4 linked regions of the Saccharomyces cerevisiae S288C genome follow. The gene in region 1 interacts genetically with each later gene. Each region holds a gene or a part of one and is shown on either strand. Other genes may lie near its edges. The genes, in order: MUD2, CBC2, IST3 and MUD1.

Region 1 (5,252 bases):
GTCGAAAGTAATGTTATACGCAACTCCTGACGAGCACTTATCAGAGGAATATGAATTCTTTATAGCTCCTGAATTAACTGTGATAGTTTCGAACAATTTACCATTCTCAAATAAGTCAATGGTAAAATTATTAGGAATCGAATCAGTCGTGTTTGTCAAAATAGATGTTTTGTTTGGATAAGCACTTCCGCGCGTGAACACATCATACAGTTCAGATTCGTTTGATAATTTGAATGAATAAGTATTTACAGAACGGTCAACAACATTTAACGGCTTGGTCTTAAACGAATTAGATAACTTGATCCCTCTCATAACAACACCATTCACAGCTGATTCATCAGCATTGACATTTCTCAACACTTTTTCTTCGGATACGAGTTTGATTAATTGATCCTGCACAATGGGAATTCGGGAAGAGCCTCCCGCCAAAATGACCCCATTTATCTCAGGTAAATTTGTTCCATAGCCACCGAATTGTTTTGTAACAGCGTCATTTATGGGTTTGACAATGTCCAATAACGAGTCTGCAATAAATTCTTCGAATTCCTGTCTAGTTATAGAAGTACGGAAATCAATATCGTTGATCAGTGATTCTATGTTAATACTTGCCTCAGAATTGGCGCTTAAAATTAACTTTGCCTTCTCTGCTGCTTGGTTGATTTTTGCTAAGGCCTTGGGATTAGCGTGCAATTCATCAGTTCTTATGGCTGGGTGTGTTTCCAAAAACTTATTCTCTATCAAACTGCCAATATCCATTGTAAACTTTGCACCACCTAGATGTGGATTATACCCATATCCTTCAAATTCTATTGTAACGGGCTGAGTAGTGTCCTCCGGCTGCAATATAGAGAACATTGAGGCCTTAATAGAACCGCTCCCCATGTCATATACGATATAATGCTGCTGTTCACCTGGTGGAAATTGGCGCTGCTTTAATACAAAGTTAACTGCAACAGACATCCCTTCACTAACCAGATATGTCTCTTCGATTCCTGTGGTTATTGAACTGGCATCTAAAAGTGCTTTCCTTTGATGTTGGTCAAAAAAGTCAGGAATTGTAAAACTCATCTTGTTTACAAAGTCCTCAGTTCTTGCATCTCTATCCTTCAACAGTGAATTGGCTCTATTGGCAATCTCTTGGACATTCATTGCCACTAACTCTTCCAATGGATATTCCACATTATCAACTAAAAAGGCTATGGTACTTCTATTTGTTGATACCATTTCTAAACCGGGGTGTTGTTTTGAATACAAAGTTACAGTGGTTTCATCTTCTAGTGATTTCCCAAGTAGCGGTTTCAAATGCAACAATGTGTTTTGGGGAAACCTTGTTGCTAAACTGCCAACAGCGGAACCGTAGATTCTTTCAATCCCATTCGGATCATCCTTTCCATAACCTGGTAATCTTTTTATCGAAAGACCAGATATCTCCTTCCGTTTTGCCTCTGGTGTGAGCACAAGTTCTAATGGGGCTTGCGGAGAAACCACAATGGCCTTGATATTTTGCTGACCGTAATCAACACCTAAAACGGCTGCTAAAGACCCTATAGCAACAAAAGCTGTTAAAAATAAAAGCCTTAAAACGTTTCGCATGGTAATATGCGTACTTATTTGCACTAATAATGCCAGAATACTGCAGGAGCGATACTGTTAATATTACGCTGTAGAATGGATCACTTTTATAACAGCGTGTTCGATATTATATATTTGAGGCGCGCGCCTAATTAGCAAGTGCTGAAAAAATTCGAGATGAGAAATTAAACTGTACATGCTAATATAAAAGAAGTAGAAAAGGAAAGTTAATTGACACAGAAAACAAGCACACGGAGATGGCTGATGAAAAGAGACTGGAGGATTTGAGATCCAAAATAATGGAGTCTATAGGAAAATCAGAAAAGGATGTTGTGCCGATTGAGAACAAAAGATTCAACACGGATAATGCAGTTATAGATACACATTTTAAGAGGCAAAAAAGTGACGGTGAGCTTCCGAAAGCGCCAAAAAGTAGAAACGTTTCACATTCTAATAACAGAGGACCATCGTCAATAATTACTATGAGCACGAATCGAACGACTTATGAACAAACAAGGGCAGGTCCTCATCGTCAAAGTTATCGGGATGCATCGGGAAGATCATATAACAGGGAGAATCGGTATAGTAGTCACAATACTGGGCCCCAATGGAACAACAATCCCTATAATAGGCAACGGGATGAAAGAAGAGGAAGAAATGAAAGGTTCGATAGAAGGGGAAGAAATGGAAACGGAAACTACGATCGTTTCAATTACCAAAGGAAGAACGAAGGTTCTAAATTCAATGGCGACCGTGATAAAAGGCAGTTGCAAACTAATAAATATGACATGAACTATAATTCCCAAAATGTAATGTACCCGGGTTCATCATTCGATTCTCCGGCTTACTACAACATGGCCTCATCCAAGGCAAATTCAAGGCTTGTAATTTCGGGCTTGTCTCAAAGCAGCGACCCCAGCATTGTAGCAAGATTGAAAGATTTGCTGGAAAATTTTATTTCAGGTCTCCAGAAAACTGAGAGTAATGCGGAGGACTTTAAAATTTCCAACTTTTATATTGGTGAAGGAAGGCCGGACCATATTATTGTTGAGTTTAGTTCTCAGATCTGTAGCACTATGGTTTTGGCCTGTCGATCATTCTTTAATGCGAAGCTTGGTACTTTCGACTTAAAATGGAGAAGACCTAATGATTATGTTCAACAACTTGATCATCTGGTCGATTTTTGCAGGGGTACGGTAATTGCATTGGAAAATTTGGAAAATATAGGCGAGGGTGAAGATTATAGAATGAAAGAGCTTTTTTCGTCATTGAATGTAACAAACGGTACCGCTAAGCCACTTTTTTACAAATGTTCGTCCAATACAAACAACACTGGCAAAGAATCCGAATTCACTAAATGTATTCTATTATCGTTTGAAGTCGTCACTCAGGATATTCTTGATAAATTAAAACCATACAAATGGTTCAAGCCAAATGATGGAAAGATATCACAAGTTACTTCATGGATTACGTTTCAAAGCCTGCCAAATCTGGTTACCCAATCTGTTCGTGTTGAATCGAGAGTTTTGTTGCTCTTAAATTGTCTTGATCCATTGGATTTGAAAGATGAAACCTTTATCACAGAAATTAAAGAAACATTAAAGTATAGTATCGCGGGAGCAGATACGATTAAAATATGCCAACCCGGCGTCGATTACAGACTTAATTTTGAAAACTTGGCTTCCGGAGCCGGTAATATTTATATCAAGTTCAAGACCTTGGAGGCAGCAAAACACGCAATGGAAGAATTGCCGGGTACGCAATTCAACGATCGCACTGTTCTGTGTACTTATATAGATGAGGACGACTTTGACATGATGGAAGCAACCCAACTTTCCTAAATGGTCTATTTTGTAGAGCGAAATTAAGTAAAGAATTGAGTATTCATTATGTAGATCTAATCTTTAACGCAGTGAAAAAAGTCCTCGTTTTTGGTGACTTTTTTTGTACAATTACTTTTTTGAAATATAACGAAAGTTAGCAGATTGACTACTAACTTGCGATCTGGAAAATTAAGAGAATTCAAACTTTTTTTGTTGCATGGGTCAATAATCATCATTAGAGCTTGCCTTGATCAATTTCCTTCACATTTTTGGAATAACTAACATTATAAATCAAGCCTAGTATAGCGCGCCAAAGAAGATGGCTAAAGATTTATTGCCCAAGCAAGCGGCCAACGAGCCATCGTTAAAGGACTGTACCTGTAAAAGATGTCTTAAATTGGGTGCTTCAAAAGAAAAAAAGATTAGAAGAAAGAAGAAAGGTGAGGAGAAAAGAGAAAGACATTATGGAAATAGACGAAAGTTAACATTCAACTTTTTGAAGCATACGAACATGGAAAATACAAATTACGACGTAATCACTTCGGTTGGATATCTGAATGAAAAATACGGATTGAAAAAATCACATTACATTGAAAAATTTATCAAATGCATCCATAGAAAAATAAATATCGATGTTAGCAAAATTACGGACGCCTATGTAAACTCGCTAAACCCGTGGGTTAAAGTAAAACTCTTCCTTTTATTGGTGACATTGTCTGAAAAGGGTGGTCCGGAATACTGGCTAGATAAGACAGATGGTGAAAAGAACTCAGAGGCGTCTTCAACAGATAATAGTTTGGAAAATTCTACTAAAGGAGCAGATAGCGCTGGATCTACTGCTTTGAGAGATGAAATGGTCAAAAGCCATAAAAACCTTTTCCCAACTCTTACAGAGCAAATCATACAGCATAACATCAACCAAGATTTTACGGAATCGACTTACGACGAGGATTATGTATTTTCGTCAATTTGGGCAAACTTCATGGAAGGACTGATCAATCACTATTTGGAAAAAGTCATTGTACCTTACTCGGAAATGAAAGTCTGTCAGCAATTATACAAGCCTATGATGAAAATTATCTCCCTCTATAACGAATACAATGAGCTTATGGTCAAAAGCGAAAAGAACGGATTCTTGCCTTCTCTACAAGACTCCGAAAATGTCCAAGGTGATAAAGGCGAAAAAGAGAGCAAGGATGATGCCGTTAGCCAAGAAAGACTGGAAAGAGCGCAAAAGCTGTTATGGCAAGCTCGAGAAGATATTCCAAAAACAATTAGCAAAGAATTAACGTTGTTATCAGAAATGTATTCTACATTATCTGCTGATGAGCAAGATTACGAATTAGATGAATTTGTTTGTTGCGCAGAGGAGTACATTGAATTGGAATACCTACCTGCCCTTGTAGATGTCTTGTTTGCTAATTGTGGCACGAACAACTTCTGGAAAATTATGTTGGTGTTGGAACCCTTTTTCTACTACATTGAAGACGTCGGCGGAGATGATGATGAAGATGAAGATAATGTGGACAATAGCGAGGGCGACGAAGAAAGCTTACTTAGCAGGAATGTGGAAGGAGATGATAATGTGGTTGAGCGTCATTTTAAGCCTGATCCAAGGGTCATTACACTGGAAAAAATATGTGAAGTTGCTGCAAGACAGAAATGGATATAAGGAGAAATCAAAGGAAAAGAAGCAAGATCCAGCGTTTTCTTTTGAACCCTGGAGGATGCTGATGCATTCTCTATTTATTTGGTATCAAATTGTCGTACAGATGATTTATATATGTTAATATTGTTCAGTTTACACTAATTTTAATTTACCGTATTTACTATCCAAAGGAGAAAAAAAGAAGTATA
Region 2 (4,228 bases), on another chromosome or scaffold:
TTTACCTTTGATATGCAATCATATTATTCTTCCCTCCATTATGGCTAAATAAATGATAATTATAATCTATAGTTTTCAAGCGTTCATATTTTGACAGATAAGATTATGCAACAACTTGGAAGGGCGGAAGGAAGCAAAAAGAAAACTCCGATACGGGGAGTCGAACCCCGGTCTCCACGGTGAAAGCGTGATGTGATAGCCGTTACACTATATCGGACAATAATTGGACAGAAAATTTTGTTAAAGTGTCAGCCTAATCGGCGTAATACGTATATATGTATATTATCTGCATATTATTACGATAATATACAACAAAACGGATTAAAACAATCGGTATATTTCAATTTGATATTTGGGATAAGGTAAAATAAAAACCGAAGATCAGTAAGCTCTTGTTACTTTTTTGTTGGAATAGAGGATCAAGAAGCATTTATTGCTAGTATCCAAATTATTAGTATATCATCATGTTTTCAAAAAAAAATGATGTAAAAATTGAGAAACAGTCACCAGTCATCATGAAAAGTGCACTGCAAGGATTAATAACGTAATAAAACAAGAACGACAGTACATAAACGAAAGAAGAGATAACTATATTATTGTATAGAATTATCGATTCTCTTTTAGAATTCTTTTATTCTCCAGGAAAACTACTTGTACATTCTGTTTAGCTAATATTGTAGCCTTTAACCACAATAAAATGCACTCCAAGTATAACCCAAAATTCATTGTTTTCAAATTTATATTAATGAGATATTGGTAACCTAAACATCAAAAATATTTTTACTCAAATTCTCTTTTCTGAAAACGCTGAAGGAAATGTGCAGGAAAAATGTTTGGCCATCAACTTTTATTCCTAGTACCACAACTAACGTCACATTCTATCGAGGCAAATGCTAATTGGCAACTAACACTATCTTAACGGTTTGATAATGTCAACACAAAATTCACCTATTATTACAAACGAATCTACCGGAAGTTGAAATGCCTGACAATAATCATACAATTGCATGAATAATTGCGAACAGATGGCAGCAAAGGATGAACTAATCATAATTATACATTGCCGCTGTAGGTTTCCTCCCATAAAAATCCAAATTTCCAAGAAAAAGTTCTTGTGTCTTCATACACTTAATATTGTTATCCTTCTTCAAGACCGGACTATATAAAGAAAAAATTTTGTAATGCTATTATATTTCAACTTCAAATTATTTTCTACTAGTAGACATAATGGAACTTCGCTCTCAGATAATCTATGGCGATAGATGGACAATTGACAATCTTCTGAAAGAATTTATATAATAAGATGTGACCATGACCTAAACCTGCTCACGCTCATGAAAGGATACAGGTAATTTGGCGAAACATTCCCAAGCTTCGCTGATAGACCTATCCCAGAAAGTGTCTGTTTAAAACTACAAGTATTTGCAGTTTTCGTTATCCAGTTTCGTTCAAGAGCATTAATGCACAAGCCACTTATATTATATAAATTTAAACTTTGGGAAAATATCATACACCTATTGTACCAGTAAATGTTGGAATAAAAATCAACTATCATCTACTAACTAGTATTTACGTTACTAGTATATTATCATATACGGTGTTAGAAGATGACACAAATGATGAGAAATAGTCATCTAAATTAGTGGAAGCTGAAACGCAAGGATTGATAATGTAATAGGATCAATGAATATTAACATATAAAATGATGATAATAATATTTATAGAATTGTGTAGAATTGCAGATTCCCTTTCATGGATTCCTAAATCCTTGAGGAGAACTTCTAGTATATCTATATACCTAATATTATAGCCTTAATCACAATGGAATCCCAACAATTACATCAAAATCCACATTGTCTACAGTAAAAGTATACCACTAATAGATTTGTAATTGGTGTATGAAGTAGTGTATGGTATAAACGTTAATAAGTGCTTATCAAAGTATTACCCGCTTTAACAGTTTTTGTGTTTTTTTCAAGAAAAATATTATATGTATGAATATAGAACATGAGTTTATATGGAGAAAGTGTCTCGACAGCTTTTAAAGTCCCGAAAGGACTAATATCGAATAAAAGTTGCATCCATTAATATACCAATAAATAAAGGGAAAGATGTCCCTGGAAGAATTTGACGAAGTTAAATATGATCATTCAACTAAACGCCTAGATACACCATCAAGGTACCTGCTGCGCAAGGCTAGAAGAAACCCTAACGGGCTACAAGAACTGCGTGAGTCGATGAAGTCATCCACAATTTATGTAGGAAATCTTTCCTTTTATACATCAGAAGAACAAATTTACGAATTATTCAGTAAATGTGGCACAATAAAAAGAATAATTATGGGTTTGGACCGTTTTAAGTTCACGCCATGTGGCTTCTGTTTTATTATATATAGTTGTCCAGATGAAGCATTGAATGCCTTAAAATATTTGTCCGATACAAAGTTAGACGAAAAGACAATTACCATTGATCTAGATCCTGGTTTTGAAGATGGAAGACAGTTTGGTCGTGGTAAGAGCGGTGGTCAAGTCAGCGATGAATTGAGGTTCGATTTTGATGCATCCAGAGGTGGCTTCGCCATTCCATTTGCAGAGCGTGTCGGCGTACCACATTCCAGATTTGATAACAGTAGCTCACAATCTAATACGAATAATTATATCCCTCCTCCTGATGCAATGGGTACTTTCAGACCAGGTTTCGATGAAGAAAGAGAAGATGATAACTACGTACCTCAGTAGAATCAATCAATTTATATCTGAGAAAGATTCTACACACAGATATATATATATATATATATATTATTGTATATATACATACCTACATTATTTTTAAAGGCTTGCATGATGCTGTTATGTAAAAAAAAAAAAAAAAAATCAGTGTAACATAATAGACGTAACACGTTCAATGACATGATAATACTATATATAGTAACGATAAAATGTAAATGGTAATAGATATAATTATATGAATATTTAAGTAATGCATTGATAAGTGATCAATTCATATCAGGGTTGGATAGCTTTTTCAATTCTTCCAGCCTATCAATTAGTTTTTTACGGCGTGTAACGGGGGCATGAGCAAATCTCTTGGATAATTCATAATCCGTGGAGCAGGTTGACGTAGCATCGTACATAGTATTATTTGTGGCAGATAATGTGTTATGATATGCTGAGACGTTTTGAACTCGTTCCACTGGGGTATTATTCGCGTTGTCATTAGGAATTGAGTTTACCAGGGTATAGTAATCACTAAATATTTTGCGTCTTCTCACATTTATGAACCAATTAGAAAGTTGAATCTTGGTTAGCCCAGTTTTGATTAACAACTCCCTCTTTTCTTGTTGAGTTGGGTAGGGGTTATTCAGGTGGTTCAGCAACCAAGTATTCAGTATCTGCACTGTTTCCTTTGGCAGGTTAGACCTCCTGCCCGAATTTTGCTTCCTCCTTGATTTAGATTCTACAAAATCCGAAAATGGCCTGTTGTATTGTGCCCCCGCATCCTTTTCCTTATTGATTATTTCATATATTGGGGCGGATTTGTAGCAGGGCTTTGCATCATCGGACGCCGATTTTGACTTCTTTGAACTGCCATATTGAGATTGTGTATCCATAGCACTGCTACTCGTCTTGGACGTTTCAACTGTAGAAGCAGTAGGAGTAGCAGTAGTACTAGTACCGCCAGAATTAATTGCGGGATACGCAATCGAATGATGCTGTGGAAGTAACACAGGCGCAGGATAGTTTTGTTCCTCGGTACTAGACCGAAGGTTCCCATGCGAGTATTCTATGTTCGAAAATGCCAACTCGGGCATACTCCGTTTTTCTATGGAGTTAAATAGAACTTGGATAGGGGGTAGACTGACTTGATTGTCAACATTCTTACTGTTCCTGTTTTGTATTTCGCAGTTATAATTCATCTTCGAATGTAACTATTCTCGAAGGTTGTTAGCATAAAAGTAGGGGCTCGGCAAGTAGCGATCAGTAGCACTGGATAGGCGTGGTATCGCTTGAAAACAAGGGTGGGAAGATCAACTAAAAAATTGTATTAGTATATATCTTGACCAATTTAACATAATCTTACCAATTAACAGAAACAGGAGGCATTAAGAGACAAGAAAACGCCGGGCGCGACGAAATCAGTCATAGAAAATTAATCATTAATATATACACGCTGTAAGAAAACAAAAGGACAAAAATTAATTACCAAAAGAAAAAAACAAACTACAGCT
Region 3 (4,258 bases), on another chromosome or scaffold:
CGCTCGGTACACGCTGCTGTTACCCCTGCCGCAGGTAAGAACAGTACTGGTCTGCCTTCCACGACAATGGGCCATAATCCATACTTCAAGGATGCATCAGCTAGCTCTACATCTACTTTCGATGCTCGCGCTGCAGAAATGCAAAGAAGAATCCAAAGAGGATTGGATGAGGACGAGGATGATGGATGGTCTGATGAAGACGAGAGTAATAACCGCGTAGCTGTAGATAATAAGGTTGAAGAAGCAAAGATTGGTCATCCTGATCATGCACGTGCTCCACCTGTTACTGCTGCTCCCTTGCCGTCTGTTACCCCTGTTCCACCTGCTGTCCCTGTCCCTCAGGCGAATACCTCTAATGAAAAGAGTAGTCCTATTCCAATAGCTCCGATACCACCTTCTGTTACTCAGGAGCCACCCGTCCCGTTGGCTCCCCCTTTGCCTGCTGTTGATGGCTTTCAAGAACCTCCAATTCCCTCAGCACCTGCAATAGCTACTGCCGTGCAAAAATCGGGTTCTTCCACCCCAGCTTTAGCTGGAGGCGTTTTGCCTCCACCCCCACCTTTACCAACTCAACAAGCTTCCACTTCAGAACCTATTATCGCTCACGTTGATAACTACAATGGTGCTGAAAAAGGCACGGGCGCATATGGATCCGATTCTGATGATGACGTTTTATCGATTCCTGAATCAGTTGGTACAGATGAAGAGGAAGAAGGGGCACAACCAGTTTCTACTGCAGGTATCCCATCAATTCCACCTGCAGGTATTCCTCCACCCCCACCCCTTCCATGAAGATTTAATTTGCTTTCTATAGATACGTATGTATACTAATTTCTGAAAGGATGTAGAATTACAAATATGATATTGATTATTTTTTTCTAGGCTATATGAATATAAGATATGCGATGAAAGAAAAAATTATTTAATTTGGTTGGTCCTTTTTAGCCAAAATGAGTTTCTCAGCATTGTTCTTCGAAACTATATCTCGATCCAATTCTTCCTTTACAGCTTCATAGTATTTTTGTAAACTCCTTTTTGGCCTATAAAAAGTATGATCAATTTTGAGGGCTCTACCGCCAATTTTAAATCCATTTAAATTATCGACTGCTAGAATCGTTGACCGTTGATCCTCATATTTCAAATATGCAAAACCTTGCGATTCTCCTGTGTTTTCATCCCTGCTAAGAATTACATCTACAGGGACTCCATATTCAGAAAAGACTGTCAATATGTCACCTTCTGTTAATTCTCGGTTGAGATTTCCGATATATATATAAGCATTATCCTTATATTCATTATGCCATGATTGATGCGGGCTAAGAATTCCACTTTGTAGTTCTTTATCGTTGATTTGCTGAATTTTGTTCATTGTTATTTTGTTTATATTATCTATGTTCTTGATCTAGAATTGCACGCTGCACTTTTTGAGTTGTATGAGTAATTAATGTTCGGCCTATTTTTTTTTATCTGTATTAATCTCAAAAAATTCCTAAACCCAGAAAGGTAAAAGAGCTTATCATTTAAGTGTGGCATAATTCTCCAGCCATAACCACTTCCTTATCACATAAATTATCATTGTCACTGAGTTCAATCACTTCTTTATTGTTCTATTGTCTTTCTTTCAAGAATAGAATTATCAGTATTAGTGTGATCTTATATACATTATATTATATTGAATACAGATAATAAAAAAAAGTGAATTTTTGAATTTTTAATATACAAGAGATGATTGCTAACTTCATGTATGTCTCTTCTTTTTTGTAGCTTCTGCTACAAGTTCTTCAAAGATCTGTGCCTCTTCTTGTTCGACTTTGGTTCTGAAAGTTTTCTTAAAGACTTCACCCAATAGTTTCATTGCTTCAGCTCTTCTGATAAGCGTTTTCTTACTTACCGAGTCATCTTCTAGTACTTTTTTACAAACGCCACGTAAAGTGGATGTTATTTCATATTTAGAACCATGCCAAGCAGCCGACAATACTTTGCCCATCAATAGCTGCTCTTGCTGCGCCAGTTCCTCAGTGGTTGGCTTAATTTGCTCATTTCCGTCTTTGTCAAACAAAGGCTCATTATTCGTGCTAGCTTCTTTCATTTTTTCAAGCTCCTTCATAGTATTCTGAGCGTCTATGGCTGCCGAAACAGTTCTTAGTGTATCCATAAATACTCCCCCTTTAGCCTTCATAGAATGAAATATACCACCCATTCCGAACAGGTTCTGGGATGCAAGAAAAATTTCAGCTTTTTCGTAGTAAACGTCGCCTATTGTGTGTAATATGTCCAGACCAAATGATTCCATCTTTAAAAGATTGGCTTCCTCTTCGAACTTTTTTTTAAAGGAATCTTTACATGCATCATCATAGACACTTTCTGTTAATATCGATAATCTTTCAATCAATGTTTTGCTTAATTGGTCTACTCTTTTTTGCTTTTCTACCTCTTGTTCTTCCTCAAACTGCTCTAATTTTGTCTTCTTCTTCTTAGCTTCTGCTCCTACCTGCTCATTTTTCTTGTTTCCATCGTGTACAGTTAAATTACCAGAAGTTGTCCTCGCCTTATTTTTGTCATCTTTTTCGTTAGTATTGCCCAATGCTGCATCAACAGCGTTAGTGGTGCCATTCGTCTTACCGTCTGCAGGTGATTCTTCCATTGTTTCCACATTCTCCTTCTCCTTTTCAGCTTCGTCTTCAGCATTTAGCTCCTCAGTTTTCTGTAGGTTCTTTAATAGCATCAGTTCGCCAATATATGAGGCAAACGCATCTCCACCAAAGATGACAGAGAACTGTTCAGCTGCATCTTCAAAGCCGCCCTGAGGAATAGCTTCTTTTCTTCCATACTTATCATACTTTGCGCGAAGATCATCGTCACCTAAAACTTGATAAGCTTCGGATATTGCTTGAAACCTTTCGGTAGCCGTGGGGTCATTGGGATTCTTATCAGGATGCTCTTGAATAGATTTCTTTCTATAGGCCTTTTTTATTTCAATGGAAGATGCAGTGGTAGACACACCTAACAAATCGTAATACTCAGTATCAACAACCATATCTTTTGTATAATGCCCCTTCTGGCCGCAAGAAACACTTAATGATTTAGCATAACTCTGTTATTCCTCTTGTAAATCTGCCAATTTGTTCAGTACGCTCTGCTTCAAAATAGCACAAAATTCAGGGTGTGCGGGTAAAAAAAAAAAAAGTCGAAGAAATATATATATATATATATAGAATAAAATCTAGTTTTTATGCCATTATTATTAATAACACCTCTAGTTTGCTCGTCATTCACATATTTCTCTCTTGATACATACTATAGAGTTTATTCATACATATTATTTATAAGATTCTAAAGGGAGTGAAAAGACGCTTCTTCTGAATGTAAGGCAGAATCAACGTCTTCGTAGCCACCTGAGAGTTCTCTTTCCATATCAACCTCCATTTGGTCCTCCATCTGCTGTTCCTGTATTTCTGTCGTATCGTTTTGATCTCTGTTGGCGATGGCCTCCGATGGGGACAGAGATTCCTCACTTATGGCTTTTCTATTACCTACGGCGTTCGTCTGTGGCAACTGAGAAAGAGGATCCGACTCAGCATTAGCAGGTAACTTTTCCTTTTCGTCCAGCTCAAAAGGACAAAGAGCAGCCTCCATCTTATTTGGAGATTGTTCTCGTTGTTCCTCGGGAATGCTCTTTGACTTTTCATCCAAGGCCCTTTCTGCTTGCTCACCAGGAGTAGTATCTATTAAGACTTTTTCCTTAGAGAAGGAAGAGGAAACATTCCAATTGTTAAATATTTCTATTTTATTAGTGTTGTCATCTTCTTCAATCTTCTCTACGCTAGCTACTTTAGAAGGTAATTTACGCCCACGAGGTCCTCTACCTCTTCTAGTTCCGCCCAGAGGTCCCGTTTTTGCCTGTGATTGGTCCTGGGGTCCTAGCTTAGATTCAGTATCCGGGGAGGACAACTTCTTCTCCAAGGAAGGTGGAAGCTGTCCAGGGTTCACCATACCAGGTAGCGCAAACAGTCCATTCAATTTGCTCGTAAAATCTGCCTTCGTGGTATCGCTAGTAATAGAAGAATCTGTGTGTTTTTTAGCAATATCTGCTGAAGCGGTAGTAGCTGAAGAATTACCATTATTATGCAGATCTTGTTGCTGTTGTTTTTGTAACATTTCTTGAAAGGCCGCAATTCTTGAAGAAGGTTTTTTGGGAACCGGAGGTGGGGCACGTCTCTTTGGTCTTTCAGAGGGAATTTTTGGGATTTTACTTTCC
Region 4 (4,364 bases), on another chromosome or scaffold:
TAGTTCCTGTTACTACTGAAGTCGCCAAAATCTTAAGAAAGTCTCAAATCCCATTTAAGATTGATGATTCTGGAGTTTCCATTGGTAAAAGATATGCCCGTAATGACGAATTAGGTACTCCATTCGGTGTCACCATTGACTTTGAATCTGCCAAAGACCATTCTGTCACTTTGAGAGAAAGAGATTCCACCAAGCAAGTTAGAGGTTCCGTCGAAAATGTCATCAAGGCTATCCGCGATATCACTTACAATGGTGCTTCTTGGGAAGAAGGTACCAAGGATTTGACTCCTTTTATTGCCCAAGCTGAAGCTGAAGCTGAAACTGACTAAATAAATGACTTAATTTTAACTATATATCGCCAAACATGTAAATTAAAAAAAGAAGCGAGAAGTATATACATGTGTGTATGAATAAATAATTCGTTTACTATTGATACGTATTGCAAGATATGATTATGTACTGTCCACTAATACGATTATTTTGGAAGTTTATAAAAGAAGTGCGGAAATCACATCTGCTGTTTATTTAGCCATTCCTCACACTAATAGTTAAAGTACTTTCATAGCAGCTCTGCGCATGGTCGGACATGCGAAAAATTCTGATATCAAGAAAAAGCGAAATATTTCCGGCCTTGTAGGGGCCAAAACATTAACGTATATCAAGATTTCCTGTGGTAGCAACATTATAAGAAAAAAAGGTAGCCTTCATTGAAACATTCTCTCTATCAGCTTACCAAGTTAAACTCCGTATTCCACAAGCAAGTGCCAAAATGTCTTCTTCCCAGGTCGTCAGGGATTCTGCCAAAAAATTAGTTAATTTACTGGAAAAATATCCAAAGGATCGTATACACCACTTGGTCTCATTCAGGGATGTACAAATAGCAAGATTTAGACGTGTAGCGGGTCTGCCAAATGTAGATGACAAAGGAAAATCTATAAAAGAGAAAAAACCCTCATTAGATGAAATAAAAAGTATAATTAACAGAACTTCCGGTCCATTAGGACTGAATAAGGAGATGTTAACCAAAATTCAAAATAAAATGGTAGATGAGAAATTCACGGAAGAAAGCATCAACGAGCAAATTCGTGCCTTGAGCACTATAATGAATAATAAATTCAGAAACTATTACGATATTGGCGATAAGCTCTATAAACCTGCAGGAAATCCCCAATATTATCAACGGTTAATAAATGCCGTTGACGGTAAGAAAAAGGAAAGCTTATTTACTGCAATGAGAACTGTATTATTTGGTAAATAAAGAGCACATTATTTTCTAAGCTTGTAAATACATATTTATTCATAATGGAGAACGTTATTCAAATTTATCTGTGAATTTCTTTACTCGAGGTATACTTCCGCAAAGGAAATTCTACTTAGCAAATCCTATGGTAACGTCATTGTTTTGTAGCTTGTAAGTGGAGCCTAACTGATTCTTGATTTTCGTAGCATCAGCAACGGTCTCGTATTCCACGAAAGCTAGGTTACGAACGCTAACTAATCTGATTTCAACTAAAGCCTCATTGCCAAGTATTTGCGACAATAATTGCTCGGTAGTGCCGCTTGGCAAATTTTGTATAAGAAGGACTTTGTTCGGTGGATTTTCCATTGTATTGGACACTTTAGCCCGCTTAAGAGGTTTCTGCGATTGTTTTAGATTTTCTTGCTGAGACTTCATGTTTTCCAATCTACGGGTTTCAAATTCTTTTACAATCCTATCAATCTCAGCCTCCTCTACCTTTCTTGATCTCAGCTTATGCTTCAGGCGTCTTATTTGCCTTTTAAGCCTGAACTTTTTGGCGCATATATCATCACTACGTAACTTGCGTTTAAGTTTCCTTGCTTTAAGCACCTTCTTTATATCAAGGTTGTACGTTTCGTCATTACCTTTTTTTTTTTGCATTTCTATTGAAAGACCCAATAACGAATTTGTTCGAGCCTTTCCCATTCTCACTTTACGACCTTGAACTTTTAATGCTGTTGTCGTGTATTTTTCTAGAAACCGGTCTGCTTCTTCTTGAGTGACAAACGTTAAAAATGCTTGGTTAGTCATCTTTGATGATCTTGAAATAGAAACTTCAAGAAGGCCCATTTGATCATCTAGTAACATCAGCGGTTGTGATGATATTTGTAATTTATTGTGGGGAAGGGGTAGCGACGGATTAATGGCATACTTGTTGTTGGGATTAATGTGTTTCAGAAGTAATCTGGTATAATTTTCTTTATTTGCTGGCCTACTGGGTAAATTTTGAAAGTACAGTCTGTTTTTATTGGTCATAGAGTATAGAATAATGAAAACGTTAGTAGAAAGAAGATTTAAGGAAACGTAAATTACAAGGTATATACATACGCTGACATGGTTTCTTTAGGTTTGATGAGGCCGTCTTTTGTTGATAGCAGCTTTTTCCATTTTTTTTTTTTTTGTTTCGAGTAACGTATGGTTTAGTATCTGTCTTCTCCTTCTCTTACAAAAAAACCCTTTGTAAAATAGTGCCGAGTTGGAGGACATCAATCTGATGGGCAAGAAAACACCAACCCCCCCTATATGAAAAGAAAATGATAAGCAGATAGATAAAAATACTTAATTAACTAATACATAAAAATAAGAGGTATATAAAAATATTATATGGAAGCAATAATTATTACTCTTATTTCTTAGCAGCCTTTTGAGCAGCCTTGGTAACCTTAGCGGCCTTTTCAGTCTTGTCAACAGACTTGATAACACCGACAGCGACAGTTTGTCTCATGTCTCTGACAGCGAATCTACCTAATGGTGGGTATTCACTGAAAGCTTCAACACACATTGGCTTAGATGGAACGAACTTGACCAAAGCAGCGTCACCGGACTTCAAGAACTTTGGATGGTCTTCCAACTTCTTACCAGATCTTCTGTCGTTCTTTTCCAACAATTCGTCGAATCTACAAGCAATGTGAGCAGTGTGACAATCCAAAACTGGAGAGTAACCAGCAGAGATTTGACCTGGATGGTTCAAAACAATGACGGTAGCGTTGAAAGAAGCGCAACCCTTTGGTGGATCGTTCTTAGCGTCACCACAGACGTTACCTCTTCTGATTTCCTTAACGGAAACGTTCTTGACGTTGAAACCAACGTTGTCACCTGGAACACCTTGTTCCAATTGTTCGTGATGCATTTCAACGGACTTGACTTCAGTGGTAACACCAGCTGGGGCGAAAGTAACAACCATACCTGGCTTGATGACACCGGTTTCAACTCTACCGACTGGCACAGTACCAATACCACCGATCTTGTAAACATCTTGCAATGGCAATCTCAATGGCTTGTCAGTTGGTCTAGATGGTTGTTCAATGGCGTCAATGGCTTCCAACAAAGTCTTACCCTTGACGACACCGGCCTTGGTTTCCTTTTCCCAACCCTTGTACCATGGAGCGTTGGTGGTAGCTTCAATCATGTTGTCACCGTTCCAACCAGAGATTGGGACGAATGGAACAGTCTTTGGGTTGTAACCAACCTTCTTGATAAAGTTGGAGGTTTCCTTGACAATTTCTTGGAATCTGGATTCGTCCCATTTGACGGAGTCCATCTTGTTGACAGCAACAATCAATTGTCTAACACCCAAGGTGAAAGCCAACAAAGCGTGTTCTCTGGTTTGACCATCCTTAGAGATACCGGCTTCGAATTCACCGACACCACCAGCAATAATCAAGATAGCACAGTCAGCTTGAGAAGTACCAGTAATCATGTTCTTGATGAAATCTCTGTGACCTGGAGCATCAATAACGGTAACTTGGTACTTTGGAGTTTCGAACTTCCACAAAGCAATATCGATAGTGATACCTCTTTCTCTTTCAGCCTTTAACTTGTCCAAAACCCAAGCGTACTTGAAAGAACCCTTACCTAATTCAGCGGCTTCCTTTTCGAACTTTTCGATGGTTCTCTTGTCAATACCACCACACTTGTAAATCAAATGACCGGTAGTGGTAGACTTACCAGAATCGACATGACCGATAACGACAACGTTAATGTGAGACTTCTCTTTACCCATGTTTAGTTAATTATAGTTCGTTGACCGTATATTCTAAAAACAAGTACTCCTTAAAAAAAAACCTTGAAGGGAATAAACAAGTAGAATAGATAGAGAGAAAAATAGAAAATGCAAGAGAATTTATATATTAGAAAGAGAGAAAGAAAAATGGAAAAAAAAAAATAGGAAAAGCCAGAAATAGCACTAGAAGGAGCGACACCAGAAAAGAAGGTGATGGAACCAATTTAGCTATATATAGTTAACTACCGGCTCGATCATCTCTGCCTCCAGCATAGTCGAAGAAGAATTTTTTTTTTCTTGAGGCTTCTGTCAGCAACTCGTATTTTTTCTTTCTTTTTTGGT

What was found.
Region 2: mutations in MUD2 (region 1) and CBC2 together harm fitness more than expected from each alone (negative genetic interaction), as found in Saccharomyces cerevisiae (5 studies listed by BioGRID, with this or other methods).
Region 3: mutations in MUD2 (region 1) and IST3 together harm fitness more than expected from each alone (negative genetic interaction), as found in Saccharomyces cerevisiae (5 studies listed by BioGRID).
Region 4: mutations in MUD2 (region 1) and MUD1 together harm fitness more than expected from each alone (negative genetic interaction), as found in Saccharomyces cerevisiae (5 studies listed by BioGRID, with this or other methods).

What each region holds. Positions count from the first base shown.
Region 1 is NC_001143.9:292,771-298,022, reverse strand, and holds MUD2 (Mud2p), read left to right. Parts: upstream 1-1,829; coding exon 1,830-3,413; downstream 3,414-5,252. Other genes in the region: Hsp70 family chaperone LHS1, read right to left, coding at 1-1,593; AAN1 (Aan1p), read left to right, coding at 3,715-5,067. UniProt on the Saccharomyces cerevisiae protein: Splicing factor that contacts pre-mRNA directly and is a component of the pre-mRNA-U1 snRNP complex (commitment complex 2) that forms during early spliceosome assembly in yeast extracts.
Region 2 is NC_001148.4:210,047-214,274, forward strand, and holds CBC2 (nuclear cap-binding protein subunit CBC2), read left to right. Parts: upstream 1-2,111; coding exon 2,112-2,738; downstream 2,739-4,228. Other genes in the region: CUP9 (Cup9p), read right to left, coding at 2,996-3,916.
Region 3 is NC_001141.2:362,000-366,257, reverse strand, and holds IST3 (U2 snRNP complex subunit IST3), read right to left. Parts: upstream 1,370-4,258; coding exon 923-1,369; downstream 1-922. Other genes in the region: actin cytoskeleton-regulatory complex protein PAN1, read left to right, coding at 1-792; DJP1 (Djp1p), read right to left, coding at 1,739-3,037; AIM21 (Aim21p), read right to left, coding at 3,334-4,258. UniProt on the Saccharomyces cerevisiae protein: Required for pre-mRNA splicing and spliceosome assembly. As part of the pre-mRNA retention and splicing (RES) complex, required for nuclear pre-mRNA retention and efficient splicing. Required for MER1-activated splicing.
Region 4 is NC_001134.8:477,329-481,692, reverse strand, and holds MUD1 (Mud1p), read right to left. Parts: upstream 2,356-4,364; coding exon 2,348-2,355; intron 2,259-2,347; coding exon 1,370-2,258; downstream 1-1,369. Other genes in the region: GRS1 (glycine--tRNA ligase), read left to right, coding at 1-329; CBP6 (Cbp6p), read left to right, coding at 770-1,258; TEF2 (translation elongation factor EF-1 alpha), read right to left, coding at 2,646-4,022. UniProt on the Saccharomyces cerevisiae protein: Involved in nuclear mRNA splicing. The principal role of the U1A is to help fold or maintain U1 RNA in an active configuration. It is the first snRNP to interact with pre-mRNA.